Elephas maximus indicus: one gene and its partner. Each later gene encodes a partner of the first gene's protein in a complex. Links are inferred from orthologs where the notes say so. Each region holds a gene or a part of one and is shown in the gene's direction. Other genes may lie near its edges.

Region 1 (16,129 bases):
TTCAAGTGATTGGCTATTCACAGCGGATACCATCATAGGAGTGAGCACATATAAATACTGAGAATCATGGCCCAACCAAGTTGACACACAATCTTAACCATCATAGACAGGTACAGAGACAGTCTTAGATAATCTGATTGAAATGTCCTACCACATTGCTTATAGAGTTTCAAATTTCTCCCTGGTTCCATCCCAGGCTTTCTTCAAATACTTTTGCCAAATATGACACCTACATAGAAAAGCGTGCCTGTAAAACATTATATTACGTTTTATGAAATAAATTTAAAGTCACAGATTTCTAAACTCATTTATTCAACAATTAATTAAGCATTTACTGTAAATTGATTATGCTCAGTACCATGTAATATTGTTACATACATTTGCTTGTACCAAGGCCACAACTATGCAAAGAAAGAGACCTAAATGTAATATAGCTCTAATAGCTTTAAAGCATTTAGTGCATTTAGGAAACTTACTTTTCCCTGCTACTCAGCCTGCATAATTTATTGTCTGCCTTTCTCCAGCATGTCCAAAATCCTCGTTGTATTTTTCTATAAGTAGTCACAGTTCCCAGGAGGCCAGTCTAATTACAATGTGGCATGATTTCCTTTAATCTGTCCATTTTTATTTTATTAAAAATGAATGTTTTGGAATTGTTTTGTTTCTGCTATTGTTCTGTAATAATTTAGTCAAATAATTACAAAATATCTAACATTTATTAAGTAATTACAAGTAATTACTATGTCAAAAACCTTATACTTTTGCATCATTTAATCTTCTTAATGACTTTAGACATAGATACATTTTTATCCTTGTTTTACAGATAACTTGGCATAGGCAACAATTCTTGAGTTTCCAAAGCTCATAATTTCAGCCATTGAGTCTGTCTGACAAAAATAAAAAGGAAGTTTTTAAAGTTTCTGGTGCCAAAGACAGTGCACAATACAGTGAGGCATACAGGTAAGAAAGATACATTCTTCGACTTCCTGGTTGCTACATTCTGGGAGAAAGACAGAAATTTTAAAATGACACAATTAATTAAAGTAAGCAATATGAAAGCCCATAACTTGGACGGCTAAGTCTGTCTCATGGGAAGCAGCAAATATTCTCTAAGGATGTAGCAAATAAAAGATAGCTGGGTGAAGGGAGAATAAAGTGAGAGTCAAAATGGCTTGAGAGAATGTTGAAGAAGGAGCGGATTCACATTACGTTATTATTATTATTTCTCTTTTTCTGTAATGTACTGATGAAAAAAACGTCTGTCTTCTCTGCTTATAACATTTCAGAAAGATGGATTTTTACCAACAGCCATCAAGTCAATTTTGATTTACGGTGAGCCCATGTGTATCAGAGGAGAACTGTGCTCCATAGGGTTTTCAACAGCTGATTTTTCAGGCCCCCTCCTTTAGGGTGACTTATTTACATAAATTATTTGGAATTCTTCTGCACAAAAGATTAGTTTCTTTTCCCCATTTATTAATTTATTCCATTATCTACTTATATCAGTATGGACTCATGGATATTTTATACTTTGGGTTTAACCAACATTATTTTGTTTCTCAAATTGCTCCAGCTTTCGCCATTCAGAGATCCTTCATTTGGCACCTAATGTCTCTTTTACATATCCCCATCAATGTGGGCTTTGGTTTTTTTTGGAGTTTTGTTGTTGTTGTTGTTTTAGCACTTCCTTATCTTATAGCACTACAAGATGCTCCAGGCTCACCTTGTATATTTCCTGCTCCAGGCCTAGAATAAACAGTTTCTAGAAAAAGCCCTGGCTTCACTGCAAGTATCTTTTTTCAGTAACATAACCAGCAACTATACAAGTGGATGTTGACAAATGGAATACACAGGAATCAAATCAACTACATCTGTGGAAAGAGATGATGGAAAAACTCAATATCATCTGTCAGAACAAAGCAAGGGGCTGGCTGTGGAACAGACCATCAATTGGTCATATGCAAGTTGAAGCTCAAGAGAATTAGAACAAGTTCATAAGAGCCAGAGTATGACACTGAGTATAACCCACCTCAATTTAGAGACCCACTCAAGAACAGATTTGATAAATTGAACACTAATGACCGAAGACCAGGCCAGGTGTTGAATGACATCATACATGAAGAAAGCAAAAGGTCATTTAAAAGACAGGAAAGAAAAAAACACCAAAATGAACGTCAGAAGATACTCTGAAAGTTGCTCCTGAACGTAGAGTAGCTAAAGCAAAAGAAAGAAATGATGAAGTAAAAGACCTGAACAAAATATTTCAGAAGAGGGTGTGGAAGGAGGGGTATCATTGCATGTTTGATGGATCATGGCTGAAAGAAGAGTATACCAAAAATATGTTTACCTGTGTTTTATTGACTATGAAAAGGCATTTTACTGTGTGGATCATAACAAATTATGGATAACATTGCAAAGAATGGCAATTCCAGAACACTTAATTGTGCTCATGAGGAACCTGTACTTAGACCAAGAAGCAGTCATTGGGACAGAACAAGGGAATACTGCGTGGTTTAAAGTAGGAGAGGTGTGCATCAGAGTTGTATCCTTTCCCCACACTTAATCTGTATGCTGAGCAAATAATCAGAGAAGCTAGACTTATAAGAAGAAGAATGTGGCATCAGGATTGGAGGAAGACTCATTAACAACCTGCAATATGCAGATGACACAATCTTGCTTGCTGAAAGTGAAGAAGACTTGAAGCACTTACTGATGAAGATTAAAGACCACAGCCTTCGGTATGGACTACTATTCAACATAAAGAAAACAAAAACCCTCACAACTGAACCGATAAGCAACATCATGATAAATGGAGAAAATATTGAAGTTGACAAGGATTTCATTTTACTTGGATCCACAATCAACATGCATGGAAGCATTAGTCAAGAAATCAGACAGTGCATTCCACTGGGAAAATCTGCTACAAGAGATCTCTTTAAAATGTTAAAAAGCAAAGATGTCACTTTAAGGACTAAGGTGCATTTGACCCAATCCAAGGTGTTTGCAATCACCTCATATGCATGTGAAAGCTTGACAATGAATAAGGAAAACCGAAAAACTGATGCCTTTCAATTATGGTGTTGGCAAAGAATATTGAATATACCATGGACTGCTAGAAGAACAAACAAATCTGTCTTGGAAGAAGGACAGCCAGGATGCTCCTTAAAAGCAAGGATGGCGAGACTTTGTCTCACATAATTTGGACATATTATTAAGAAGGACTAGTCTCTGGAGAAGGGCAGCATGCTTGATAAAATAGAGGGTCAGCGAAAAAGAGGAAGACCCTCAAGGAGATGGACTGACTCAATGGCTGCAGCAATGGGCTCAAACATAACAATGATTGTGAAGACGGTTCTGGATCAGGCAGTGTTTCGTCCTGTTGTATATAGGGTCTCTGTGAGTTGGAATCAACTTGGCAGCATCTAAGAGAGAATGCCCTAAAAGAGTTTTTGCTACTTTTTCATAGAGAAGCCCAGCTGTCTCTTACCATCAATTGTCTGTTTTTTCATTTCTGAGAAGCCCTAAGAAATAAGGTTTTTGTTTCTCTGTGATAGTTAAACCACCCTTTACAGGTTTATTCACTAATCAGGTTCAAAGTCTGATAGTTCCGGAACTTTAAGACAGGGATGGAGACTGTGACAACATTTTCTTGGAGAAGCTATAAGGAACCCAGACACATAAACTGAATCATAACAGAATGCTATACACATGAAAATAATCATAAGAAACTGATTCTGGCTTTGCAACACTGTGTTTGTATATATTTGTTAGGATAATAAAAGCTGAAGGCAAAAGATTACAGGTATTCGTCAAAAACATTGTCCATGATTTTTAGAAAGTTAAATGGCATTGGTGAAACAAAATATGAAGCTAGGAATTATGAAATTCAAGTGACTTAGAGAGACATATGTCTACAATATAATTTATATCATGTCGACCCTAAAAAATATCTAGACCTGGATTTTGACAACAATCCAAAACCAATATCTATTTCTTATTCTATAATAAGATAGGGGAAGTGCCTTTCTGGTGCTGAGTGATTTATTTCTCTGAGTGCCTTGGCATTCACCCATAGAGAAGATTGGATTTTCTTGTTCTCGCCATTTCTTTTCAGGCAGACCTGAGCTTGGTATCAAGCTTCTACAGTCGAGGGAGATTTTCACACCTGTACATTAAAGAAGCATTTTAAGTATAAAAATACCAGAAGTTTTGCAGAAGGAAAGCATGATCAACAATGCTCATGTTCTTCACATAACATGGTGTGTTTCTGTGATGAATTACTACATTTTCCCTGAGGTCCATATGGATTGGGTCATTTGTAATGTTCATTCCTTTGACAGATTCACTGAGTACCTTTTACGTGACAACCTGTGTTTCAAGCACCAGTGTATGACAGTCAATAAATAAAGTCAGCTGTCATTCAACATGCGTTCCAGTGAGACAAGACAGAAAATAAACAAATAAGCAATAAATATTTAGCATGTGAAATGAGTACAGTCCTAGTCACGACACTATTCAATGTGTGAGTGTGGGAATTCATAGTTGAGGTGGAGTGGAGATAAAGATTGTCTACTAGAGAAGAAATCAGAAGCTATGTCTCATCCAAATGGTGTTATCATCCAAAAGTTTGAGGAAGTTGTTAAAAAACCATAACAAGAGTTGGATGGAGGGGAAAGCTCTCAACCAGAAAATAAATCCTCAAGGAATAAGCAAGGAATGTCCATTAAGTCAGAAGATGATTTTTACCAGAAGAAAAGGCTGATACAGCAGGAGGACATATGCTCAAAGGAGGAGTTTTGATTTGTTTGGGTTTGTGAAGAATTATTGTATTTTGTTTTTGCCTTTTTTACACAAGGTTTTGTCAACCCTGCAAGTGGTGATATGAGCCAAGACGAAAAACACCATGTCCATCCAATTCTGACCCTCATTTCTTTGAGGGTGGAATAAACAGCCTCTGTTTAAGCAGGCTGCAAGGAAAGTATGCTCCCAGGGGCCTATCGTGGTTCAAGTGAAGCACGATAGAGCAGGCTTCTCTTGGAAAAGGCAAGGCAGGACATGCATGCTAGAGCTTTAGTCTGAGTCACGACCTTCTGAATACGTATTTAGGCAGTACAGCTTAAAGTATATGTTTCCAAGGTTCTTAAGGCAGGCATGTGGAAAATAGACAGCAACTGAGCCCTCCCACCACACACGTCTCCCCTTGCTGAACAACTCTGTGGGGGCACATCAGCCTATTTTCTGGAGCATAATAATTGTCACAATTTGTCAGGTTCAGCTTAGTAATATTGTCTAACAGTTTCAGAGCAATAACAAAAAGCATGGTTTCCTACTCAGAAGAATAAATCCATTATCAATTTGCCTTTTGCTTGTATTATTGGTTTGTACAATGTCTTGAGATTGGTTTCCTGTTCATTACACTTATACAAAATAACACTTTGTTTAATATATTCCAAATATGTTATTTAAGCTTTAAACTTTTTGATATTATTGTTTGTTAAGTCTATGTTATGTTGCAATGTACTAAAAGGTACATAAAATTTTACTCAAAACCAAACCTGTTGCTGTCAAGTGGATTCCGACTCATAGCAACCCTACAGAACAGAGGAGAACTGCCCCATAGAGTTTCCAAGGAGCACCTGGTGGATACAAACTGCTGACCTTTTGGTTAGCAGCCATAGCTCTTAACCACTATGCCACCAGGGTTTCCTCAGCAAGGGGTGGGGCGGGGAACAGCTGCTGTGGAGTTGATTGGATGCATAAATCAGATTGCTTCAAAGAAAAATTCCATGGGCTAGAAAATTTACTTGAATTATCACTACAAAATGTGCGGAAAAGAAGCTGGCAATCCACAAATTGTCTATTAAAAAAAGGTTAAGTATAGTATTGCACAGGCGGTTATTGTCATTGCTGTCAATAAGTTGTACACCTGTAAAAAGTTAAATTGGCAAAAGTTACGTGGTAGATATATCTACAACAATGACAAAAAAAAAAAGAAGACAGAGTAGCTGCTGAGGTTTTTCATTTAATGTACAATGAAAAACCTCATGGGATTGGTTTCTTGGTTTGAGGTTTAGGGTCATGGTTTCATCGGACATCCCAGTTAATTGGCCTAACAACATGTTTAGTGCCTTTGTTCTACCACCTAGCTCTACGCATAGTGCCTGCAGTCTTAAAAGCTTGCAATTAGCCATCCAAGGCACAACAATTGGTCTCTGTTCACCTGAAACAACAGAGGAAGAAGTAGAGTCAGGAATAAAAGGAGGATATAGAATGTGTGACTGATTGCCTCCATGAACAACTGCCTCCTTTGCCACGAGACCAGAAGAACTGGATGGTGCCAGCTACCATTACTGAACATTTTGATCTAAGACTCCATAGAATAATTCTGATCAAAAGAGGGAAAATGCAGAACAGAATTTCAAATTCTCATGGGCTCCAGACTTCCAGGAGCCGTGAAGTTTGGATGAACCCATGAAACTATTGCTCTGAGATAATCTTTAAACCTTAAACCAAAAATATCCCCTGCAGTCTTCTTAAAACCAAACAATAGCTTAATCTAACTAGTAAAAAAATGTCTGCCTTGAGCATTATGCTCTTTTAATTACTATCTATACGGGATCAAATCGGTAGCAGTGACTTGAAAGATTAGACAGGAACCGTAGGGGGCAGTGAATTTGTGTTGATGGGGGAGGAAGAGCTCAGAAAAGGAGGGTGAGAACGGTTACACAACTGGAAGTTTGTAATCAATGTCACTAAATGGTACATGTAGAAACTGTTGAATTGATTTAAGTTTTGTTGTGTATATTCTCAACAACAAAATAAATAAAATTAAAAAAAAGTTAACTGGGTATTTGATGCCAAAATCAAATAGTTATTGTTAATTTTTAGGTGTTATAATGGTGTTGAGCTATATTTTTTAAAAGTCTTTGTCTTTCAGGATACATGCTGAAATATTTTTGGATGAAATGATGTGCCGTTTAGGCTATGTTTAAATTAATCCAAAGTAGGTGAGTGGGGTATAGATGAAACAAGATTGGCCTCCTATTGGTAATAGTCGATGCTGTGTGATGGATACACTGGGGTTTATTATCCTTTCTTCCTATTTTTGTATATATTTGAAAGTTTTCATATTAAAAGTATAATTTAAGCAAGAAAACATGCAACAAGGACTTTTTTTGCATATAATGAAGCATTGTTTTCCTGACATATTTTGCACAGAACAAACTAAACTCATTGTTGTCCAGTCGATTTCGACTCATAGAGATGCCACATGTTTTAAGAGCAGAACTGTGCTCTGTAGGGTTTTCAATGGCTGTAATCTTACAGGAGTAGATTGCCAGGTCTTTCTTCCTTGGCTCCACTGGATGGACTCTGACTGCCAACCTTTCATAGTCTAGCACAAACCCTTTGTGCCATCCTGCGACCAATTTATAATTTCTGTTTCATACTTTAGAAAATCACATTTGAATTTTGTATAATTATACATATTTTATAACCTTTCCACATTTTTTAAACTTTTCTTGGTATGTAGCAGGAGTGTTTTTTAAGGAAACATCACCATTTTAGATCAAGGTAGGACTATAAAATGAGTGTCTTATAGTGTGGCAAAATTTTCCAAACTCCCTTTGGAAAAGAAGGTCCAGCACTTCTTCCCATCACCCTCAAATTACGCTGCTACTCACTAGTTTTCCAAAATATGCATAACAGATTTTGCATCTGAGGTGAGAAGGTTATAGTAGCTCCCACGGGCTCTTTCCCACACACCTTCACACACACACACACACACACACACACACACACACACAGCAGTAGCAGCAGCAACACTACACACTCCTACCTACAGAAGTGTCCAGATTTGGATGCAGCACGCTGACAACTGCCGCTCTACTGGGGCACTTAGCCGTGGGGAGAGAGAAAGCAGCTGCTGAGAGAAAAATAGGTAAAGGACCAGAGTTTGCTGTCTTCCTCTCCCCCTTCTCTCTTTCCTTCCTTTCCTCTCCCCAGCATCCCTGCTTTCTCTCCTCTCTGGTTTTCTCCCGCCCCTACCTTCCATCATCTCCTCCAGGCCTTCTCCCCAGGTTCCCCTCCTCAGTGATCCGTCTCCCCCGCTCCCCGTCCCTGGCAGTTTGTAGAGGAGGCTCAGCAGCTGCTGCTTTTATCGCAGCCGCCGCTGCAGGTCTCTCTTAACATCACCCCCGCCCACGCCGGTCTGCAAGCTGAAGGCGCGCACTGGCCTGGAGATGAGGGCGGGGGGAGAGAGAGGCTGCTAGAGGGGAGGGAGGAGAGGCAAGGAGACAAAAACAGCTTCCAAGCAGCAGGCGGGGCCTTCACTGGGCATCTGGGAAGGAGGGGTCTCTGGGTCAGTGGCTGGGCACCCGCCCCAATTACTCCTATTCTAGCTGGTAATTCAGTGGGGCGGTGTACAACTGAACCCTTCTGGCCTGGGTGGCATCAGCTGGCGAGGGCAGACGTCAGCCTAGCAACACACCTAAGCAACCAGAGCTCAGGAACCTGGAGAGAGCCCTGAAGAAAGAGAAGCCCAGGAGGAAGAAAGGGCTTCTAAAGGCCCAGCTTCTCAGGGTTCCCTCAGGTGCTGGTGGAGACCTGTCACATGGTAGCAAGTAAGTGCCTTTTCCTTGTTGTTTCCTGTCCTGGGATGGTGATAGCAGTCACCAGCTGCCAGCCTTTCCAACTCCCCACCTGCCCCACCCCATTCACCTCCTTAGGATTGCCGGCAGGAGGATGGAGATTAAGATTCTGGAAAGAAATTAGGAGAGCAAAAGATACGTCTTTTTTCTACTTCAAGAGCAGGGGTGGCCGGTGGGTGTTTGTTCTTCACTGTGTGGTCCCTTTACTCATCCTACCACCTCATAAGCTTCTGAAACAGAGTTGTTCTGTTAATGCAAAATTTCTAGAAACCGTAAGTGGTGATGACTTTTATATTACATGAAATGATGCTCACATGTAAGGAATAAAAGCTTTGCAGAGTTGGAGTATCCTTCTAAGGACTCCCATCCCTTGTTCTAATTAACTTCGTGATTTCCAAGATTAGTGCTTTTTGTGTCAGAATTGTCAGTTTGGAAGTAGATACATAGATGTGATGGGAAAGGTGGGAAAGGTGTGCGCAGTTTAAACCACTGGGTATTTTGGTATTGTGTGGGCCAACAGGTTTTTGCATTGTGTGGTTTTGTAAAATGCATATTTTCTGGAGGTTTTCTTTTAAGGAGCAATAATGTTTTCACTGTGATTCTGGTTATATGTGGCCTCCAGTTGCTAGGATGTTGGTCAAAGCAGGACGGATGATGAATGCATGTGGGATGAATCACTGATGGTTCCCTACATTAATGGAGACGATGGACTCAAGTCTGGATGCCGGCCAGAAAAATCTCTTGAATTGGAGAAGAGTTTGGGTGGCGCTTTTTCATGTGGATATTTTTCCCCTGGCTATTGCTCAGGAGAGTAGTTTATCGCAAGTAGAAGGGAGTTGGGGCCCTGTGATAAACATAGAACTGGGCACTATACCTGCTACAACCAGCCCTACTTGGAGGTTCTGTAATTGCTTCTATTTTTATGAGTGAGAAAGAAAAAGCCAAAAAGGAGTAATTTGATGTCGTTACCTGGCTAGTCAACAATATTGAGCTGGAAGTCGAGTGAGGAAGACTTCGGAATTTAGAATTCTAACACTTGATTGAAATCCTTATGCAAATGAAGCATTATTAAACTTGATTAAAGTTTATTTTCTCTCTTTGTAAATGACACATCAAAAAGTCCTGGTAAGGACTAGATAACAGAGATACCTGAAGGGTTTATATCATGCGTAACAATTACTTGTATAAGGAATTATTCTGTGTTTTTTCTCCACTGCACTTTTATTCTCAATTAAGTTCAATACTGGAATGAAAGGAGATTCTTGTCAGGCCTCACTAGAATGCACTAGAAGAAGTTCAAATCCAGGTCATGGTCTCTTGCAACCTATATAGCTTAAAGCATATTCTAACTGCAAGCCTCTGTCCTTGCAAAATTGTATGCTTTGGTTATCCACTTATAATTAAACACTTTGAATGTTTTCAAAATTCACTTTACCATCTTTCTCTTTTTAGTTGTAGTTTTTGTTTTACGTGCATGGTCCAACTCCCTCAGGATTAAAACACCATGTATATTGGATATTGCTGAATTTATTTGGTCTATTAATATGGGAGAAATAAAAATTTAGGCATAAATGCTCTACTTTTGACTGCTGAGATTCATTAAAATCCTACACTCAGAGGAAACAAACTCTAAGCCTCTTCTTGCCCATGACTGTGTTTAAAACAGGAGAAAAACCTGAAGTTGGACCTAGGCTCAAGAAAAGTGGCCAAGAGAGGCCAGAAGACAAGGTCAGGCCCCTGAACCTGGTGCTGGGCATCAGCCTCCATTGGAGAACTGGAGATAGAACCAAGCACTTAGGACCTGGGCAATCAGTCTACACAGCCTCCTGTGGTAAAAGCATTAGTTAGGATAGTTGAAATACATGCTCACTGATTTTGCCCAGGTAGGATGAATACAGGTTTAAGGCATATTGTGAATGGATCCAACAGTACATTGCTCAACCCCTTATATAGGGGAGAAGAATCCTAATGTTTCCCTGGCCCCAGATCTCATTGGCACAAGATCTGTACTGCAGAAATTATTTCAGACAACTAGGGCACTCAGAGACTGACATGCAACCCTCAACCTACCATCATAAGCTCTCTCAAAGGTTTATGATAGAGGCATTAACATGTAAGGGCCATTCTTGATTTCCGGGCATCTGGTCTCATTATTTAACCAGTATCAATACTGGGCAGCTGATGAGATGGACATCTGTAACCCTGCCCACCTCCATCTCCCCTAGCTATCAGCAAGATATGAGTCACCCACCTGCACGTAGAACTAACTTGTACAGGCAGATCTTTTTTCCTTGTGTTGATCACCATTGGTGTGGGCTAACCAGTGCCATATAAACCAGGTCTCACCTGTACAACATTGAAAGGTGGAACTTTGGTAGTTGAAGAGAAAATTTTCATCTAAGGGCTTTTAGGATTGTTTTTCAGCTGTTCCATATCTCTTGGCCCAGCTTGGATCATGATTTCCATATATTTGTTCAATCATAGCTTTTTATAAACCAGGCTTAATTTGTTTGTATTCTAATCCGATGGGGGGAATCCTCATTTGCCTGGAAGACAGATATCCTTGTTGTACATGCAGTATTTCTAACTGGATTGGTTCAGTCAGGTGCTGGCTAGGGATGGCCAGCTCTGTGGACAGCTCTGATTGTGGTGAGAGCCAGGTTCCAGACTGGCTGCATCAACATCAAATAAGAGCCTAATGAAGATGCTGAAGCTTGGGCTCCACACATTGAAATTCTGATTTTAAGGCTTTGAGATTAGTACAGGGCATTTGGTTTTAAATGAGAACATCAGATGACAATGATATTCCGCCACATTTGGAGACCAAATTCCCTAGTCGAATAAATTGTGTTGACTGGAATATTCTTTCTCTTCTGCTTTCCATACCAGGTTTCCATATGAGGCTCACGGTCCACTGATCTCTCACCCTCTGTGCACTCCCAGGTGCTGCATAGTCTAACTGCCTGATCACAGGCTGTAATTTTGACTCTGACCCATATCTAGTCTCTGTGCCCATCTCAGAGTGAGATAAAAACTAACTCATACTCATTCTAATATGTTTCAAGTTTCCTCTAGTTGCTCTCCAATTTGAGAAGGGGTGGGGTGGACATCTATTTGCTTGGTTCCACATTTGAAAAACTAGAGTAGGTAGTGGAGGGGAAACACTGGAAAAGTAGACAGACACTTTCAAAGTGAGTAGGGTCTGAGGTAGACAGCCAGTTCTAAGAGGACACCAGGGTTCCAATGAATGTACTCGTTCAGGATTTTTTGTACATTTTTTTTTTTGCATTCCGTAGTGCCAGCGGCATCTTATACCACAAGTCAGAAAATCTCCGGGTTGCTGGTGAGACTAGAAGTTGCATGCATAACAGGAACTCCTTTGTATTCTCCTGGGCTGGGGAAGAATACATTCCTCCATCTTCAGTTCTTAAACGGCCTCTGGCCAGATTCTTCTGGTCTAGGGTCAGGTGGACTAGGGTCATGGAACAGTTAATTCTAGCAAGATCCTGGCTTTTTCCCAACATGCTTGTTTTGATGGGCTGAATACATGCAGCTTGGCAGTTTCCATCATATCCGTAGAAACAAGGAACGCTGATAGTGAACCATGAGTTTGTCACAGAGAAGATCAACAAGGAATTCTTAAAACTAAGGCAACTCTCCTTCATGTTCCTGGAATTCTTTCTTGCGGCCATTGCCTCACCAGTCATAATGACTCACCCTAGCGTGATTCCATTTCCAACAGAGGCTTTCTCCTCTGTGAATTTCCCTCTAGGCATTTGAACTTAAAATGGACTTTTTCCTGGGCTCATTCTTGTAAGTGAATTTGAGACCAGGTGCTGAGACTTTGTCATATGACACTTTGGATTCATATTCCTCTAGTATAAGTTGGCTGTGCCACTCTGAATATGCGTGGCCTGTACTCCTCCTTGGGGAAAGGAAACACATACAGCAAACTCAGCTCCTGATTATTTTAAGGAACCATCTCTAGAACCCAAGGTCACCAGAGTTTGGGGGAAGTTCTTAAAAGAGGACTTATTTATTTGGGGAGTGATGGAACCTGTCCCTCTTGATTTTCTCTGCTGCCCATTTGTTTATAAGGCCATTTCCCTAGTCATTGAATTCAGAGGAATGTCTGACATTAAAATTCTTCAGGAATATAATCAAATCAAAATGGCAGAGTATGGTGATATTTTTGAGAAAGTTACTTATTTACAATTTTCCTTTGCAAAATAGAATATTCTAGGAATGTGTTGGCTGAAGTTGTCAGAGTGAAGGAGTTGAGTTGGAGTTAAGTGGATATACTGAGGAAAAGGACCTGAAGCCAGAATGAGTTGACCTGTGAGCAGAACACAGCTTGAGGCAGAATATAAGTCCAGGGACAAAGAGGCAAAAGTCAATTAAGTCAGGTTAGATTAACGGTATGACAGGGACAAGTAAAAAGCAAGAATTGAATAATCAAAATGGAAGTAATCAACCCAAGTAGAAGTATAACCCAAAAGCTGAAAAACAAGTGGACTGAAGCCAAGGGGGAAGTTATGGAACACCCGTTCATACGGAAAGCTGCAAATTCCAGGTGGACTGGTGCCATCCCAGTCAAACTGTCCTTTATTCCCAAATCTTCAGTGTGCAAACCTTTCTGGGTCTTAGTAATACGTATACACAGTGAGTTACAGCCAAGGAGTATAGAAATATTAACTGGAAAGCAACAGAATCCCTTGACACTTTTTTAGTTCCTGTTCTTGTTAGTCCAAGTGCATAGATATAAGAGTTTTCTTCTTTCCAGGGGGGAAACATGCATGTACCAGCATACATAATTCCATGTTTAAAATCTTCATAAATCCTTTTGATCAAAGATGAGCAATGCAAGCTATTCTCAATATTACTTTTTTCACTTAGTTTATTTTGGAAATCTTTTCATAAGGGCTCAGATATATCTATCTTATTACCGTCTTACTAAAAAGTATTCTATGACAGTGACATACTGGAATTCATAGTATTAACTTCTTAGGGTGGACACTTTGATTGTTTCTAGTCTTTGAAATTAAAAATATGCTGTGATTAACGTCTTTGTTAACATGACTTCTCAGTCTTCAGCAAGACTATTCATGGGGCAGTTTAATTGCTGGGCCAAAGGGTACAGGCAGCTGTATTTTAGAAACTATTGCCGATTGTCCTTTAGAAAAACTGCACTAATTAGCACTCTTTTCCAAAACATATGAGGGTGCCCATTGGCTCTAGATCCCAGCCTGCAAAAGGTCACATCCCTTGAGCTGAGTCTTAATTATGCCTCAAGAGATTTACTATTAGAGTTATTGATTGTGTTAACATTATCCATATCCTTTAGAATTTCATTAATTTCAATCATCTTTCCTGATAGCTTTCTGCTTCCTAGGGGATAATGACAATATTTTTGGATCTCCCATAAGAGAAAGCAGTGCATGTGACATCTCTTGATTTCTAAACCCTGGGAGAAAAAGGATTTTAATCAAAGGGCTCTAAGGGAAAGACTCTGCGTCAGAGAATTTAGCTGTGAGTCATTGCAGAATGTGGGAAAGATGAAATGTAAGTCTTAATGTGTCTATTAAGTGCAATCAAGTGGCCCTGACCAACAAAAATGTCAATCTAAATGGGTCATTTCACTAAAGCAGGTGTGGTCCCTACATTCTCAACAATACAGATTCCATTTACTGGTCACATTAATGCTGCCTCCTTCATTTATGCCTGCAGTATCTTCTAGCCCGAGTTAACTTGTTTGTCAGCTTTGTCATAGTTATCATTAATGTCTTTACAGTCATCTGAAAGTCATTGGTACAATAGGTTTGTTGCATTCTCCATGTCAGATATAGAGCATAGCTGTTTCAAAATAGTTTGAAACCACTAAATGATAAATCATTCTACCCTTCATTTCCTATTCCATGTCAGCATGAGGTTGGCATTTGAGATATTATCCTTAGTCTATATGGCTCTACTGTCTTACCTGGTTTCTTTGTTTTGTTTTGTTTCTTTGCTTCGTTTTTCTTAATTTATTTTATCTTGCTCTGTGGCCTATGTCCTTGTAAGCTAATCTAGATATCTTTGAAAACATATGAGGATTTTTTAAAAATCTATTAATTATCTGACATAGAGTAGAACATTTAACAATTGTCTTTGGCAGACCTAATCTAACATCTGTTTTCTCATCCTTAGGATCAACTCCAGCTTCCCAGAAAGCATAGGTCTGTATATGGCATGATCTTTACTTTGATGGACATTTTTGTTCCATTTGAAGACTGTCCAGTTTACCTACATGCCTTTTCGATGTGGTGTTCACGGATCACAACAGAATAGAAAAGGTCCAAGTAAATTTTAATCTCAATTTTTAAAATTCACAATTACTTCCCAAATATTATGGGCCACTCACTGTACTAGGCATTTTTACCCATATTATTTCATTTTATTCTTCTTTAACCCAAGGAGAAGCCTCAATTTTATGACTGAGAAAACAGTCTCAAGAGTATTAAGTAATTTGACTGAGGTGTCTCAGAACATTTGTGACAGAGTTGAGGATTTGAATATAGATCTATCTGATTCCAAAGTTCATGATTTTATTTTTTCTATTTGTTTTTACTAGGGTATTTCTCTACTGCAATTTTAATTGTTGATGTGTTCAGTAAGGCATGTACAGAGTTTGAGAGTGTACCATATGCATTAGCCAACAGCCTTTGTGAAAGGCCCCTGAAATTTTTTAAATCTATTATCCAGCATATATTTTTGCATGTTGTGAAACATTTTATAAACTGACTTACTTGAAGTCCAAATGTGTGCTTTTCTTAATTTTCCTGATTAAATAATCTAGAATTTTGGTGATAAAATAAAGATGAAAAAATTAAGCATGAACCCTGGTGGCACAGTGGGTAAGAGCTCAGCTGCTAACCAAAAGGTCAGCAGTTTGAATCCACCAGCCGCTACTTGGAAACACTATGGGGCAGTTCTACTCTGCGGTTTGATAACCCTTAAAACCCAAAAACCCGCTGGAGTCGATCCAATATTCCCACTCTCACTGACCCTATAGGACAAAGTAAAACTCCCCCATAGGGTTTCCAAGGAGCAGCTGGTGGATTCAAACTGCCAGCCATTTGGTTAGCAGCCAAGCTCTTAACTACTGTGCCACCAGGGCTCTGAGTAAGGGTTAGTTCATATAAAAAGATCCCTGAGCAGCCAGTAATGCTATAAAGCCTATGTAGTTTTCTTTGGAGAAGTAAAACCATTGTTAGTCCTTTACTCAGAAAATCGTCTGATAGTAGGAGTGGATTAGAAATAGCAAGACAATATCAAGTCATAACTGACTGCTCAGGTGGGAAACAGAAGAACTCTAAAAGCATACTAATGGGATCATTCAGTAGTTGCCTTTGAGAGCATCACTATGATACTATGATACACTATAATACAGTAATTAATGCTTATAATGATGACCATGAGTCATTAAGAAAATATTAATATAT
Region 2 (15,844 bases), on another chromosome or scaffold:
GAAAATAATACATACTATGTTTGTGCTAAGGGCCGAGTATTATGCCAAGTGGTCTATATGTTTGAGTCATTTAATCTTCATAAATAGCTACAAGATAGGTATTATTATTATTTTCATTTTAAGGCTGAGGAAATTGAAGCTCATATAAAACAATTCCAAGTCAATTCCGACTCATGGTGACATCATATGTCAGAGGAATTAAATAGCATGCCCAAAGTTACACAGGTAATAAGCAATGTATAACCAAAAAACCAAACCAGTTGCTGTCAAGTAAATTTATAGCGACGCTATAGGACAGAGTAGAACTGCTGCATGGAGTTTCCAAGGCGCAGCTGTATGCATGTGAACTGCTGACCTTTTGGTTAGCAGATGAATGCGTAACCACTTCACCACCAGGGCTCCAAAACAATGTATAACCCTTATTATATTATTCTTTTCCATCACTTCATTCTGTTACTCCAAATCATAACCTTACTTGAAAATAGTGCCATTCAGTGAAAGATGCCCCAAATAAAGAGCCAGGAGAGTGCCATCTGCATCTCCAGGTGAGCTTCTCAGAACACCCATACCTCCATCAACCATTCCTGCTCTTTGGGACATTCTACTCATCCTTTCAAGGTTGCCCTCAAATATCACCACTTTCAAAATTCCCAGACCCCTACTCCCACCCCATAATTTATGTCCCCATCTTCCAGGCCATCTGCATACAATACTACCCTTACCACACTCTTTCACAGTTATTTTTTAAAGCCAGAGACTAGTACAATACCTGGCATAGAGTGAGGATGCAGTAAAGGTGTTCTGAATGAATGAATGTAGTGTGGCAGTATTAATCTCTCTAGATGTCAGTTCTTGCCGTCTAAAATAGATGTCTAGTATTTCATATTTCACAGGAATATCAAGAAAATTCAATGAAATGTTAGTATATCTTAAAAAATACAACGATTATATTAGATGAGGCCAAGCAGTTATTTCTTTTACACAAAGAGATAAGCAACCAGGAGATTTTCATTCACGCTAATCCATGTAAACTCTCTAAATGATAAATAATTATAACTCCCTCCTCCCGCCCACAAAAACGAACACACAATATATTGGATTGTCTTATGTCTTTTTCTTAGATGTCATACTTTTCCATCATACTATAAGTTTTGTGAGTAAAGGGGTTGTGCCTACTTTTTCTCACCCTAAATACATATACACACACAGCACCCATCTTAGAACTTCACATTGCACATTGAGTCATTAACTGTCTGATTTCAACATGAACGTGTCTTTTGATGGTGAACGTCTTACAGGAAGGAGTTCTTAAGTCTTTGGAGACAAAGAGCCTTGGTTTTGAGATCTGGCTTAGGCACATGCAGGTTGAGTAGCCAAGTCATTTAACATCACTTGTACAGTAGTTCCCAACTTACATGCCGACAACTCCATCGTAAGCCAGTTCTGACGTAAGTTGAACACCTCATTTTCATAAATCTGATCATTGTTTTGAGGGGTTGCTATGAGAATGATAACATCAGCAAATTAAGCACTGCAACATTGTATGCAGTACATATTACTAACAAAAGGATGTACAAAAAAAGATGGGCATAAGTGCAGTTCATCATAACTTGAATATGCTGTAAGTTGGGGACTACCTGAGTTTAGTTTCCCCCTGTGTCATGGATTGAATTATGTCACCCCAAAAATCTGTGTATCAGTTGGGCTGGGCCATGATTCCCAGTATCATGTGATTTTCCTATATTTTGTAAATCCTGCCTCTGTGATGTTAATGAGGGAGGATGGGTGGCAGTTGTGTTAGTGAGGCAGGATTCAACCCACAAGATTGGATTGTGTCTTGAGGTAATCTCTTGAGATATAGAAGAGAGAAGCGAGCAGAAAGACTGGGGGACCTCATACCACCATGAAAGCAGTGCTGGGAGCAGAGCGCATCTTTTGACCCAGGGTGCCTGCACAGAGAAGCTCCAAGTCCAGGGGAAGATTGATGAGAAGGCCAGCAAAGAGAGGGATGTCTTCCCCTGAAGGTGACACCCTGAATTTGGACTTTTAGCCTACTTTACTGTGAAGAAATAAATTTATCTTTGTTAAAGCCATCCACTTGCGGTATTTCTGTTACAGCAGGACTAGATGACTAAGACACCACCCCCACAACAGAAAATATATATATGTGGATAATAATAGTGCTTACTCAATAAAATTGTTGTGGCGAGAAAGCATGCCCTCAAATATTATTATGATGATAAAGATAATGATGTTGATATGGAAGTGATAATAAAGATGATGGTAAATCATGAAAAGCTGATTGGTTCTCATCATGCTGAAGTTAAAAGTTGAGTACATCTCTGTAAAGATTAAAGACGTAGTCCAAATAGGAGCCTAACATCCCTCAGCTTTATAAAAACCAAACCAAACCTGTTGCCATCGAGTTGATTCTGACTCATAGCGACCCTGTAGGACAGAGTAGAACTGCCCCATACAGTTTCCAAGAAGCAGCTGGTAGATTGCAATTGCCGACCTTTTGGTTAGCATATATAGCTCTTAACCACTACGCCATACGGGGTTTCCAATAAAAAATCCAAAACAGATCCACAGACATGATCTCATTTTTTTCTCACAGCAACCCTGGGAGGCAGACAATTAGAGACGGAGAATTGGCTCAGAGAGGGTAAGTTAAACGGTCACAATGGAACGAAGCCTGGGAAACAGGCCGCCTGTCCCTGACGTGGAACTCATTTTTCTCCTTCTTCCAAAATATTTCTGATGAGCATTGAGTCAGTCTGGACCAATTGTTGTACTTGCTCCAAGCATCAGAGCAACAGCAGTATTCAGATCAGCAGCAAAGGTAATAATGACACTTATTTCTCCAAGGGTTCTTTTCCTTCTGCCTACCCCAAGAGTTCCAGCCAAATGCATGCTAGAAATGCATAAAAACGTATGTCATGCTAACAGTAATACTTGAAATATATCATAACTTTTCTTCTGAGGAGCTCGAAGTGCCTTGTCAGTCATATCTTCTTCATTGCCATTCAAATGTCTGGACTATAATGATTACCTATTGACAGCTTGCTCATTAAGGGCGTTAACTACGGGCTCCCTGGATGTTGGTCAAGAGAAGTGTGACCTGAGCTTCTTTTGTAGACAGGGTGGCATTACAGGTGGAATTGGGGTGCTCCTGGGTGGCAGGAAAGCTCCACCTTCCCTAAATATCCACTTGGAGCTTGGTTCAATTCAGCAAACATTTCTGGCCCCCTCTCCCTGCCAGCTCCTCTGCAATGTGCAGATCCAGGAGGGGACTGCATACTCTGGTTGTCATGTCATGTTTCCTGATCTGATCTGATGTGACCTAATCCCAAACTTCTCTTGGCCAGTGACAGTAACCACATGGCTGGGAGACAGGATGAGGAAACAATTTTGGGGAGCCTACTATTGATTTATTGACTATCTCTCAGTTCCATATGTGCTCTTTGGCCATAGTTTAAAATAAACATTTTTCTTTCCACTCCTTGTCCCACGGGGTGTGCATTATTTTTCGAAATCTACTTAAAACAGCAAAAGCAGGTCATTTGACTTGCCTAGATTGATGTCTGATTTCTGAATCTTGACCCTTATTGATTTATGTGTTCATCTTGAAATACTTTTCTTGGCATTCTTCTATGCATGAAGAAGTATCCCACAGCGATTCCAAGCCTCTCCCTTGACCCCAGATTCCCTGTCCCCCTACCCTCTACTCTCAGGGGATCATTTTCGTCCTGCTTTACCAAGATTGATAAGTGTGTCCTAAGGTCCCCATGTTGTTGTTGTTAGTTGCCATCAAGCTAGCTCTGATTCATAATGACCATATGTACAACAGAACAGAATGCTGCCCAGTCCTGTGCCCTCTTCATGATCGTTGGTATGCTTGAGCCCATTGTTGCCACCCATTGCGTAGTGCCTTCCAATCTAGACTATTTCCATTGGCTAATTTTCAGAAGTAGACAACTTTTCTTAGCTTTTCTTAGTCTGGAAGCTCCACTGAAACTTTCTCACCATTAGTGACCCTACTAGTATTTGAAATGCCAGCAGCATAACTTCCAGGATCATAGCAACACACAAGCCATCACAGTACGGCAAACTGATAGACAAGTGGTAGAAGGTCCCCATATTTTACCTTTACTCACAATGTCATTGCCACCACAGCTGTCTCTAATTCCTCCCCATAGTCTTAGTGAAATGTGGTTCTTTCATCAGGAAAACTAACTTTTCCCTGAATATTTCAGATTCCATTGCTTCTTCCCTCAACAGAGTCATTCCCTCCCCTCCACCTCAAAATCTCTGAAAATCTCAGCCTCCATACTCCCTGTCCTCTTCCTCCACCTCTGAGCACAATTAGCTGGAGTCCCCTCTAAATAGGAATGCCCCTCAAGTCTTGAGACTCTCTTGCCTACTGTGGCATTGCATCTTTCTGGATCCTCTGTTTCTCTGACTACTCTTCTTGTTCCCTCTATTGATTCTGGCCTCAGCTCTTCTCTCTTTCCACTCTATCTCCACCCCTTCATATGTTTACTTATTCTCTCATCCAGAATACGCAGAGGCTATGGCAGTGAACGAGACAAACAAGACTCCTGCTTTCATGGAGCTTAGATACTGATAGGAGAAAACAAGCAAGTATGTAAATCAAAAATAAGATAATTTTGAATAGCAATAGAATACATGACGGAAAGAAGCAGGGTAATGAGAAAGGGAGTAAGTTCAGGTGGGGGAGGTGGGGAGATTAGATTAAAAGGGGTGCCCAGGGATTTCTCTAAGGACAAGTCATTTGAGGCAAGGCCCGAATGACAAGAAGTCAGCCATGGAATGGAGAACATTCCTGGCAGAAGGGACATCTAGTGCTTTATGGTAGGAAAAGCTTGATAAGTTTGAAGAACATTAAAAAAACAATCAAGTGTAGCTGGAACATTGTGGACAAGACAGGGAGTGATAGACATGAGTGTGGAGAAAGAGCCAGCAGTCAGGGGAGGCTTATTAGGCCATGGTGAAGAGTTTGGACTTTATTCTAAGTGCAGTGGGATGCCACTGAAGGGCTTAAGCAAAACAGGTACATGACCTTATAGAAAGAAGATAAAGACCTCTCTGGCTACTGTTGGGAGTATTTAAACAAATGGTTTCATCTGTCAACCATAACAGGAGAATTATCACTTAATCGAAAAAGGTCATATATCAGCAAGAAAGAACTGAAGCCAAAATGCAGAAAAGAGGAAGAGATGAGTTAAACTATTCAAATGAGTTAAAGGCTGAATACAAGGCCAAATGTACTTCAGGGAACTTAAGGAACTTGCAAAAGTGACTGAGAGCCATTGCCAAAATTCAAGGGAAATGTCAGAAGACAGCAGGGAGCAAATGTGTCTATTTTCAATAGAGAAGAGAGGAGGAAAAGCTTAAGGAAACTGGAGGCAAGTATATTTTTCTTAACTTCTCAAGTGAAATCCACAAATTAACTGTTTAAAATGGGGTTACCAAACATTTAGAAAAGGACAATGTGATTATTAGGAGTCTGCATAGATAGGCTAAGGAAAAAATTCTGTAAAGCTAAGCCAGTTCCCCATGATGGTAGTTGTGGTAGTTGTCGGTGTGGTGGTGCTTGTTAGGATTATCGGTATGAAAATATCTCAGTCACTCTGTATATCTCAATCTTGGAAGACATTCAATAAAATCATAGAATGGCAAAGATGTATGGAGCTTTATCAATAGGGTATCCCAAATTTCTAACCTATAGAAGATTTTTTTTTCTACGACAGTAATTGGTTGTAGAGGAAATGCTTGAACATAACAAAAGGTAATTCATTCCACTTCATAACGGTTTGAAATGTATTGCTGAAAATCTGTTTCCATATAACTGTAAACCATTGATCTTATTGCTTTACTCTGGATCATTAGAACTCTAATTCTTCTCACATAAAGCCCTTTAAGTTTTCCAAACATGTCATGCCCATGGAAAACAGGGAGTTGTGTTTGGGTATTTATTTAAGATTAAGCAACCATATTAAAGGAGTCTAATTAGTAGTTCATTGTCATATAGACTGAGGTCTCTAGAGGAATGTCAAAGGATTCTTTTTGTTTACTTTCTGTTCATTTTATTTATTTATTTTTTTTATGCTACGATCAAGCGACTGCCAAGTCCAAAGATGAAACAAGGCTAAAGAAGAGACATATGTTGGGTGATTGAATCTAAATTCAATAAAACTGTTAACAGGATGTGATAATTGATTGGAACTAATGTATTTTAACAGCAATAAGTACAAATTTTCAAAGTAAGGCATCCTAAATTTTCTCTATGAGTACAAATGACTGCAACCAACAGAGTGCAAGTGAAAACTACTTAGGGATTTTAATTGACCAGAAGCTTATTATGAGTGAGATGTGGTGTAAGAGGATTTGAATAGCCAGACCCTCTAAAGCAAGCATGACCATATTTCCACTGTATTTATGCTAGCTGACCACATAGGAAACGTTAGTTCTTGTCCAGATGTCACTTTGAGAAGGACACCAGCAAACTAAAAATCGTCCTGAGAGGGCAACTAGGGTGGTTAAGGATTGGAAATACCCTGAAATAAATTTATGAAGCTTTTTGTTTGTTGTTGTTAGGTGTCGTCGAGTCGGTTCTGACTCACAGCGACCCTATGTACCACAGAACGAGACACTGCCCAGTCCTGTGCCATGCTCACAATCGTTACGCTTGAGCCGGTTGTTGCAGCCACTGTGTCAATTCATCTCATTGAGGATCTTCCTCTTTTCTGATGACCCTGTACTTTACCAAGCATGATGTCCTTCTCGAGGAATTGAACCTTCCTGACAACATGTCCAAAGTATGTGAAAAGTAGTCTCACCATCCTTGCTTCTAAGGAGTATTCTGGTTGTATTCCTCCAAAAAAGATTTGTTTGTTCTTTTGGCAGTCTATGGTATATTCGATATTCTTCACCAACACCACAATTCAAAGGCATCAATTCTTCTTTGGTCTTCCTTATTCATTGTCCAGGTTTCGCATGCATACGAGGTGACTGAAAATACCATGGCTTGGGTCAGGCGCACCAGTCTTCAAGGTTACATTTTTGCTTTTCAACACTTCAAAGAGATCCTTTGGAGCAGATTTGCCAAATGCAATGTGTCTGTTGATTTCTTGACTGCTGTTTCCATGGGTGTTGACTGTGTATCCAAGTAAAATGAAATCCTTGACAACTTCAATCTTTTCTCCGTTTATCACGATGTTGCTCACTGGTCCATTTGTAAGGATTTTTGTTTTCTTTTTGTTGAGGTGTAATCCATACTGAAGGCTGTGTGGTCTTTGATCCTCATCAGTAAGTGCTTCAAGTCCTCTTCACTTTCAGCAAGTAAGGTTGTGTCATCTGCATAACACAGGTTGTTAATGAGTCTTCCTCCAATCCTGATGCCCTGTTCTTCTTCAGATAGTCCAGCTTCCTGGGTTATCTGCTCTGCATACAGATTGAATAGGTATGGTGATAGAATACAACCCTGACATACACCTTTCCTGACTTTAAACCATGCAGTATCCCCTTGTTCTGTTCAAAGGACTGCTTCTTGATCTATGTACAGGTTCCTTATAAGCACAATTAAGTATTCTGGAATTCCCATTCTTCGCATCATTATCCATAATTTGTTATGATCCACACAGTTGAGTGCCTTTGCATGGTCAATAAAACTCAGTTTTTAAACATCCTTCTGGTATTCTCTGCTTTCAACCAGGATCCATCTGACATGAAGCTTAGCACCAAATAAAAAGTCTTGGGGTGGGAGTTGGGAAGCAGAGCTCTTTCAAAGATTTAAGACGCGTATTTTGCTCCAGGAAACAGCGTTAGGATACTTAATCGTGTTTGAGGGAGGAAAGAGAGGTGTACAGAATCCAGTGGAATACAAAGAACTTCCCTAAACAATAGAAGTAGTAAAGGCCCTTCACAAGGAAAGATCAAGCCCACTCCTCAGGTGTGTTCTAGGGGGTGTGGAGTTCACGAATTGGAAAGGAGGTTGAGTTTTGTCAACTTTAACTTCCCATCCAAGGCTTTTAAGGGCTGTCTTCAAAAGAACATAGTTTACGGGCTGGTGGTGTGCTGCTCTGGAATAGGGCACATTCTGTTGCTCGTCATATTTTAGGACAGAGAATTTCCTGCAGCGGGTTCACTTACACCCAGCTGTTAGGCTGCGGTTCCCTTTTGAAATACCAGTGTTAAGCTACTGCTTTTGGAAAAGGAGCAGGGAAGAAGAAAAGAGGGGGGAGAGACTCTTGTATTAATCTTTCATTTCAGCCCCAAGCATTCCTAATCTATTAAGTCAATTTGAGCTTATAATTGAATTTAAAGGTTCAGGTTTCCCTTCCAGAGATGGGGCGGGGAGCTGAAACAGCTGCTAGAACTAGGGAGTGGCTGGCTAATAGTTGGAAAGGGCCAAACTACAATCTGTTTTTAAATAACAACAACAACAGAAGTGGTTAGAGCAAGAGGGAGGGCTGCGAAGAACCAGGGGAAGGGAAGAGGAGACCTATCTTGCCCCCACCCTCAGGGCCACTCGGGCTGACATTTGGCTCACCCCACTGAGGGATGAGGTGAACACAGGGAACAGGTGCGCCCCACTCTTACCCTCACTTCCCCTAAACAGGGATTTTCTTGCTGCGTTCGGTGTGCCCGAAACCAATTAATCAAGGCCAGAAAAAGGCTAGACAGGGAGAAAAGAAGGGGATGGGGTCGGGGGAGAGAAGCCCGGAGCCATGTAGTATGTACATTGCAGATGACATCATTGCCTGAAAGAGATTTGGCCCTCCCCTTCCTGGAGCTGGAGGCAAGCATGTCAGTGCGGGAGCAGGAGTGGGGTTGCCTGGAGTGCGTGAATCTGTGGGAGACGGTGCACCCGTGCTTGGGAGAGGTGTAGAGGCGTGGGATGAAGACCTGGAGACAGCGAACAGAGTGATTGCAGGGGCTGGAGGCGTTTGCACCTCCCAGGGCTCCGCCCCCACTCTGCTCCACACTCCGCCCGCGAGGGGCACGCCTGTTTTGGGGGTGGGGAGTGTGTGCGCGAGGGGGTGGGTCCGTGGTGGCGCCCGGGGGAAGGGGGCGGGGAGCCGCCTGCGCATGTCACGGCTGACCCGGCACCCACGGCTAGGGAGCCAGGAGAGCGGCAGCTGGTCACCGGCCACCGGCCACCGAGGATCGGGGCACTGCGCGATCCAGAAGCGAGCTCCGGGGAAGGGGCTCGCCCTTCCCACCCACCCCCACCTCTGAGATCGCCGGCCAGACGGTAGCCTCCGCCTCCTTCCCGGACCCTCCGGGCCTCCCCGGGGAGCCGAGGACGGGTGTGGACTGACCAACGTGGAAAGACTCCTCCAGCTCAGACGGACGGCCCAGGTGGCTTCGGGTGTGGGGGACACGCCCAACTGGAGAAGCCGGCCGGGGCGGTTGCAGCCGGAGCTCCGGGGTGGCGGTGAATATTGGTCGGGGCGTAGCTGTTCGTAGGGGAGGAGCGGTGGCTAAACATGGACCCCTTCGACAGCAGAGCCGCCTAGCGCAGCTCCTCGCTTCCCAGCCGAGCTTCCCTAGGCGCAAACGGGTGAAGGCAGGGGCGCTAACTGGAATCTGAAGCTCCGGGTGGGCGGGGAAGATACTGTCCTTGGTGCTGAGCCGGAGCCGGGCCGCGGGTTCGGGGAGCCAGCACCGAGCTGCTGAGCCGCTCCATCCAGTTGGGGCGGTCGACTAGGGTAGCTTCAAGCTGAAACTCCCTGTCCGGCTCCAACAGCCCACAGAGCCTCCCCGGGGCTCTTGGCCCTTCTGTCAGTCAGAACGTCGCCCCCTGGGGGCAGTTCGTCCCGAAGGGTTTCCTCGAAAGTATCTAAGAGGGCGCAGTCCTTGACCGAGGGAATCTCTCTGTTTAGTCCCGGAAGCCACTAGCTGAAAAAGATGCCTGCCTTCAACAGATTGTTTTCCCTGGCTTCCCTGGTGCTCATCTACTGGGGTAAGTACCAGCACCCTGCCGTACAAGATGCAGATACCAGTAATAATGCTAGCGATAATAACACATATTGATGGCATTGATGGCAAAAAGGAGTCCCGGTTGGCTTCCCCTATGTGCATCTCTGGCAGACACGAAGAAATCCGTAAGGGATTCCATGCAAGCTGGGAATCTGAGGTGGGAAAGACGCCTCCCCTCCGGAGCCTTATTCCCCAACCTCCCTTGGTGGGTCTTCCACCTCTCCTCTAGTTTCCTGGTCATTCCAAAGGATTTCTTTTTCCTCTGCTGAAAGGGAAACGCAGTCACTTTCATTATATAAAACAAACAAACAAAAATCTCCTTGATTGCAGTTTCATCTTATTTTTAATGAGGAGCCAATACTTCTGAAAATCTTGCCGGATCTTCGAATTAGTTTCCTACATTAAAAAATAAATAAAAGCTATATGCATGCATTTTGAGAGTGAAAATGGTTCAGTTGTAGGTCCACCTGCTTCATTTGAATAACGAATGGGAGGAGAACAGGTCTCAGCTATTTACTGCTGTGTATTCAATAAACAGCAAACTGGGAATTGGATCTTTTTTTTTTTTTTTCCATGAACATGTGGAGCTAAGGTGCTTTGGTGTTTGCGAAGCTAGATGTTTTACGTCTGAAGATGAAGACTCTTGTTTGTCTATTGTGAGAGACTAAGGTGACCTTCTCCTTCCAAATAAGGGAGTCCCTCACTTGCAACAAGAAGGCTAAGCAAGGATGGTGTCAGAGATGGGCTATCCTAGAGGTGGCGTGCCTGAATGTATGTAAAAGGGGCTTAATGAGCCTACCTGATAATGTCTGAATATGTGATAGAATGTTTTACTGTGTGTTAATGTACCTTTCAATGTCTGAATGTGTGCTAGTGTGTGCCTGAGCAGATTAGTGTAGGGATCTAAATACACTGGTGAGAATAGAATCATGTGTGTGTATTTGTGTGTGTTTAGGTCTGGGCATCTCTGCCTTGATGTCTCTGATTAGACCATCACAGTCAAATGTAGGTGTCCTCCAGTTGATACATTGCTTTACGTGATCTTAGCTACCTTTCTCCATGCTAAAATAAATAACCAGGGTAATTCAGTATGATTGTGCCCACTGAGACATGTGGGACTATGCTCTCGATTGGCATGGACCTCATTCTGCCCGTGCAGTGGCAGACGTGCTGATGGGAATTGCGTCTTTGCCTTAGTATCACTTTGTCAAGCCTCCAGGACTGGCTCTGGCTGCCAGCGTTATCTGGATTTTGCATGTGACCAGAGACAGAGCCAAGTTTCCTGTGGAACAAAATGCCTGATGGGCTGAGGAAGACAAGGAGGGAAAATAGTGTCAGCCCCAAGGGCAGACTCACCGCCATCCATCCCCAGTAGAGCAGACCAAGCTTAGAGATGCAGCAGACATAATAGGTTGCCAATGATCTCACCTGCCTTGATGATTTAAGGCTGCGATTTTCTCAGGGGAGGCTGAGACTAGGGACATGAAGCTTAGGAGATGTTAGTCTGACTGGGTAGGAGAGAGCGTAGGGAAAGCAAGCAAGGGGAGATGAAGTTGGGGTAATATTCTTTAAAGCCATGAAATATCCTCCCCAAAACCCAATATTTCCTAATCTAAGTTTTTAGGGTCCCTGCCTGGATTCTTGTGAAGGGTCTTTTGTTTGGGGCTTGAGAAGCCTGGCTTGGAGCTTTGCCACTAGATGGCTATGTAACAACCTCAGAGCCTCAGCTTCCTCATCTGTAAAGCAAGGACGTTGGAGCAGCGGATGATCTTTACCATCCCTTTCAGCTGTACCACTGAATGATGGGAAATCTTTACAGAATGTTGCTAGAATTGGCAGATTGCCCAATCCCACCCCTACCCTGCCATGCAAAATAAAAACCTTTGGAAGAAGCATGCACATTACACACATCCTTGCTTAATCTCAACTGCTTTGTAATCTGAACATCTGTTCACCAAACCCCAAAGCTGCAGAGGCAAGGAGGGATGGTTCAGGAAAAGCTGGTTGTTAACTGTAAGAGAGTCCTGCTTCACAAATGCCATTTCATTTTATTTGCATGTGATCCCAGTACTGGAAAGCGTTTAGCTTTAGTAGCAGTCCCCCTTCCCAAGTTGGTTTCTCATATGAGGCCCAATATGAATGGAAAGAGTCTTCTCTATTCTTTTATTTTTTGCATGTACTGAAAAAAGTTCCCTTATTTCCTTTAATGAAACATTTTCTTAAAAAAAAAAAAAAAAAAACCTGACACTTGCCTGGTACTTTACAGTTTACAAAGCAATTTTCCATCCGTGACATCTTTTGATCTCCGTAACAACCCTATGAGATAGTCAGAGGACGCGGTATTATTTGCAGTTTAGAGAGGAGAAAATGACCTCAGGGGGTAAAGGACTTGCTAGAGAACTCCTGTCTCACGATTTCAGTCTCCCAGCGCTCATTCTAGCACGTCTTATGGACACAGGAACTGCTATGTAAACCTGCCAGGTGGCATTGTCCTCCCTTCTTGGCTCTGGGCCCCCCCAAACCCGACTGTCTTTCCTAGGCCCTCACCCATCCTTTAGGCTCCTAGTGCCTTCTATGTTCTTCCTCTCCAGGTCTACCCGTCCAGCTGCACCCTCAGCTTCCCTCAAGGCCCTGCTGAGTGGCTAATCCAAGAGACTGAGTCATTTCAGGGTGTTATTATCTAAAAGCATATTTATTTATTATACCCTTTTGGAAAATACTTACATTCTAACCCAAGCTTTCATTATCTTGGTGCAAAGAAAAGCACTGTAGAGCAGGCTCAGGAGGGGGAATTTGGCAACGCCCAAACCAGAGAAAGATTTAGGGAAAGTACAGGAGATGGTTCAATATATGTTACTATCCACCTCGTAATAGATTGATGCTATTCCCTAGTTGAAATTCCTGGGTGGTACAAATGGTTAATGTGTGTGGCTGCCAATCGAAAGATTAGAGGTTTGAGTCTACCCAAAGGAACCTAGAAAGAAAGCCTTGGTGGTCTACTTCCCCAAGTTTAAAAAAAAAAATCAACTACTGAAAACTCGATGGACCACAATTCTTCTCTAGACACGTGAGGTATCCATGACTTGCTATCAACTTGACTGCAACTGGTACTGGCATTCCTTAGTTAGATATAGCCATCATATTCTTCCTTTGTTCTTCATAGTTTTCCATTATTACTGTGAAAACTGAACAGGAGACTGAAGGTCAAATGACTTGGCCGAGATTATTCTAGGAGCTTATCATTTTTATAGTCAGCAATGTTGGTTGAGCAACTGCCATATGTACAAGCTCTTCTTGGATACATAGAGAATTTCACAGAAATTGAGTAATGGCGTGCTGGAGCCCAAGGTACCTGGGTGGTGCAAATGGCTTGTGCTTGGCTGCTCATTGGAAGGTTTGTGGTTTGAACCTATGTAGAGGTGCCAGGGAAGAAAGACCTGGTGATCTGCGTCTGTAAACATTACCACCGAGAAAACCCTATGGTGCTTAGTTCTACTCTGTAACAAATGAGGTCATTGTGAGTCAGGATTGACTCAAAGGCAATGGATGCTGCAGCCAATTTGCACCCACTCAAGACAGACAAGTTCACAGCTCTTCCCAATTCTGTGTTCAGTCATGTTGGTAGCTTGACATTGGCTTTAGTGGGCATATTTACACCACAGAGATTGGCAAACACTACAAATCAGGACCCTTTATCCCTCCCAGAGAGCCAGTTTGTAAATATTTATGACAACACCATTGCACAGAGTGAATAATGCTGCCCTCATTTTTAAAAAATTAAAAAAATAAGAATTAGAAATATACTTATGAGATGCACATGCAAAAGAGGACAGAAACAAATCCAGGTGTTCTAACACAGTGTGGTGGATGGGACACAGCTTTTAGAATCAGGCTGCCCTAGGTTCAAATGTCTACCTGTATGACCTTGGGAAAGTTACTTAATCCTTTTAAGACGCAATGTCCTTATCCGAAGTGGGATAATAGTACCTCCCTTGTTGCCAGCTTATTATATGGTAGTAAGTGAGATAACATAGGTAAAGGGACTCAGGAAAGAGAGACCAAAAACAAAAAAAAAAACCAAACCCAGTGCCGTCGAGTCAATTCCGACTCATACCGACCCTACGGGACAGAGTAGAACTGCCCCATAGAGTTCCCAAGGAGCACCTGGCGGATTTGAACTGCCAGCCCTTTGGTTAGCAGCCATAGCACTTAACCACTATGCCACCAGGGTTTCCATTCTATATTGTTGCCGTTCCATATTCACCATCCAGACTGCATATATACCACCTTTAACTGTAAGTGAATTGACTGTGCTCCTAATAAAGGCCAACCCATCCACTAGAGAACATGTCCTCTCACCTACTCAAGGACATAAATCCGGTACATTATTCTCTTTCAAATCCCAACACCTCCACTACCACCTTCATCCAAACAAAATCATCTCTGCCTGGTCTCTATATCAGCCTCTTAGCTGTTCTCCATTCTTCCTTCCTTGTCCCACCTTGCCTCTTTAGACTATTCTCAACACAGCAATCGGATTTTACAAAGTTTGTGTAAAATCAGATCAGGTCTTTCTTCCACTCAGAACCCTCCGGTGCTCCCCATTTTACTTAAAGCAAAAACCAAAGTCCTAACCATGGCCTGGAAACCCTGGTGGCTTTGTGGTTAAGAGTTTGGCTGCTAACCAAAGGGTCAGCAGTTCGAATCCACCAGGTGCTCCTTGGAAACTCTATGGGGCAGTTCTACTCTGTCTTATAGGGTCGCTATGGGTCAGAATTGACTCGATGGCAATGGGTAACCATGGCCTACAAGGCCCACCTCCATGATCTGGCCTTGGCCTAGCTCTCCCGCCTCATCTCCTATTCTCATCGTGGTCACTGTACTATCCACATTGGGGTTCTTGCTGCCTCTTGAGCCTTAAAAAATACACTCCCCCCCTCAGACCTTTGAATTGCTGTTTCCTCTCTCTGTCACACCTTCCCCCAGATATTCACATAACTCAAGCCCTCATTGCTTTCCTTCAGTGTCTGCTCGATGTCACCTTCTCAGTGAGGACTTCTCCAGTGACTCTATGCATGCTCTATCTCCTCTGTCATTGTGTGCCATCGGACTCATAGCGACCCTATATATGACAGAGTAGAACTGCCCCATAGGGTTCCTTGGGCTGTAATATTTACGGGAACAGATCGCTAGGTCTTTTCTCCCACAGAGCTGCTGGTGACTTTGAAAATGCCAGCCTTTCTGTTAGCAGCCAAGCGCTTAACTGTTGCACTGCCAGGGCTCCGCTTCTATCTCCTCATTGTCAGTTTTGGTTTTTCCTATAGCACTTACTACAATTTCATATTGTTTATTTTCTTTCTTCCTCCAACTGGAATGTAGGCTCCCTGAGAGCAGGGATGGTTTCTGCTTTGTTCCCTCTTGTATTTCCAGTGTCTAGAAGAGTGCCTGGCACACAATAAGCACTCAATATATTTGTCATCTAAATGAACAAATAAGTGAAGGGCAAAATAACATGAATAAGTGATATTTGTATAAAGCACATTCACATAAATTATTCCAAGGAATTCTCATGACCAATCTATTAAAAAAAAAGTAAGTATAATTTTCAACATTTCTTTGATGAATAAACTGAGTCTCCAAAAAGTTAAATAATAGATCAAACCCAGGCCTTCAGTTGCCAAATACCATCTTTACCCTGCCTCTGTAATCATGACTGTTCGTTCCTTACGACGTTTCCCTGTTCTGCTTTCAAGTCATGGTCACTCAACTAGCTTATCTTTACCACCTTTCCTTCAGTACGAATGTACCCCAAGGCTCTGTGCTACACAGAGTTCTC

What was found.
Region 2: the proteins of SCN7A (region 1) and SCN3B are in contact, whole or in part, in a cryo-EM structure (PDB 7TJ9), measured with the Homo sapiens proteins. The link is inferred for Elephas maximus indicus from reciprocal best matches to the Homo sapiens genes SCN7A and SCN3B. Residues at the interface, in NP_002967.2 of Homo sapiens: Arg269, Glu293, Tyr296, Leu298, Glu299, Leu305, Gln315, Cys316, Pro317, Glu318, Gly319, Tyr320, Asn922, Ile923, Thr926, Cys927, Lys929, Ile930, Phe939, Ile956, Tyr957, Asp959, Gln960, Ile966, Tyr970, Met973, Ile974, Tyr977, Ile978, Leu981; in NP_001035241.1 of Homo sapiens: Val25, Cys26, Val27, Glu28, Val29, Arg44, Ile46, Lys50, Arg51, Glu52, Glu53, Val54, Asn95, Gly96, Ser97, Asp99, Gln101, Asp102, Phe126, Phe128, Ala130, His131, Pro133, Val135, Thr154, Ser155, Ser158, Glu159, Met162, Leu165.

Annotation. Positions count from the first base shown.
Region 1 is NC_064824.1:64,588,455-64,604,583, reverse strand, and holds the start of SCN7A (sodium channel protein type 7 subunit alpha), read left to right. Parts: upstream 1-8,327; 5' UTR 8,328-8,611; coding exon of another isoform or gene 8,612-8,621; intron 8,622-11,537; exon of another isoform or gene 11,538-11,624; intron 11,625-14,834; 5' UTR 14,835-14,934; coding exon 14,935-14,980; intron 14,981-16,129. UniProt on the Homo sapiens protein: Sodium leak channel functioning as an osmosensor regulating sodium ion levels in various tissues and organs. While most sodium channels are voltage-gated, SCN7A is not and lets sodium flow through membrane along its concentration gradient.
Region 2 is NC_064835.1:16,863,978-16,879,821, reverse strand, and holds the start of SCN3B (sodium channel subunit beta-3), read left to right. Parts: upstream 1-9,086; 5' UTR 9,087-9,387; exon of another isoform or gene 9,388-9,911; 5' UTR 9,912-9,936; coding exon 9,937-9,991; intron 9,992-15,844. UniProt on the Homo sapiens protein: Regulatory subunit of multiple voltage-gated sodium (Nav) channels directly mediating the depolarization of excitable membranes.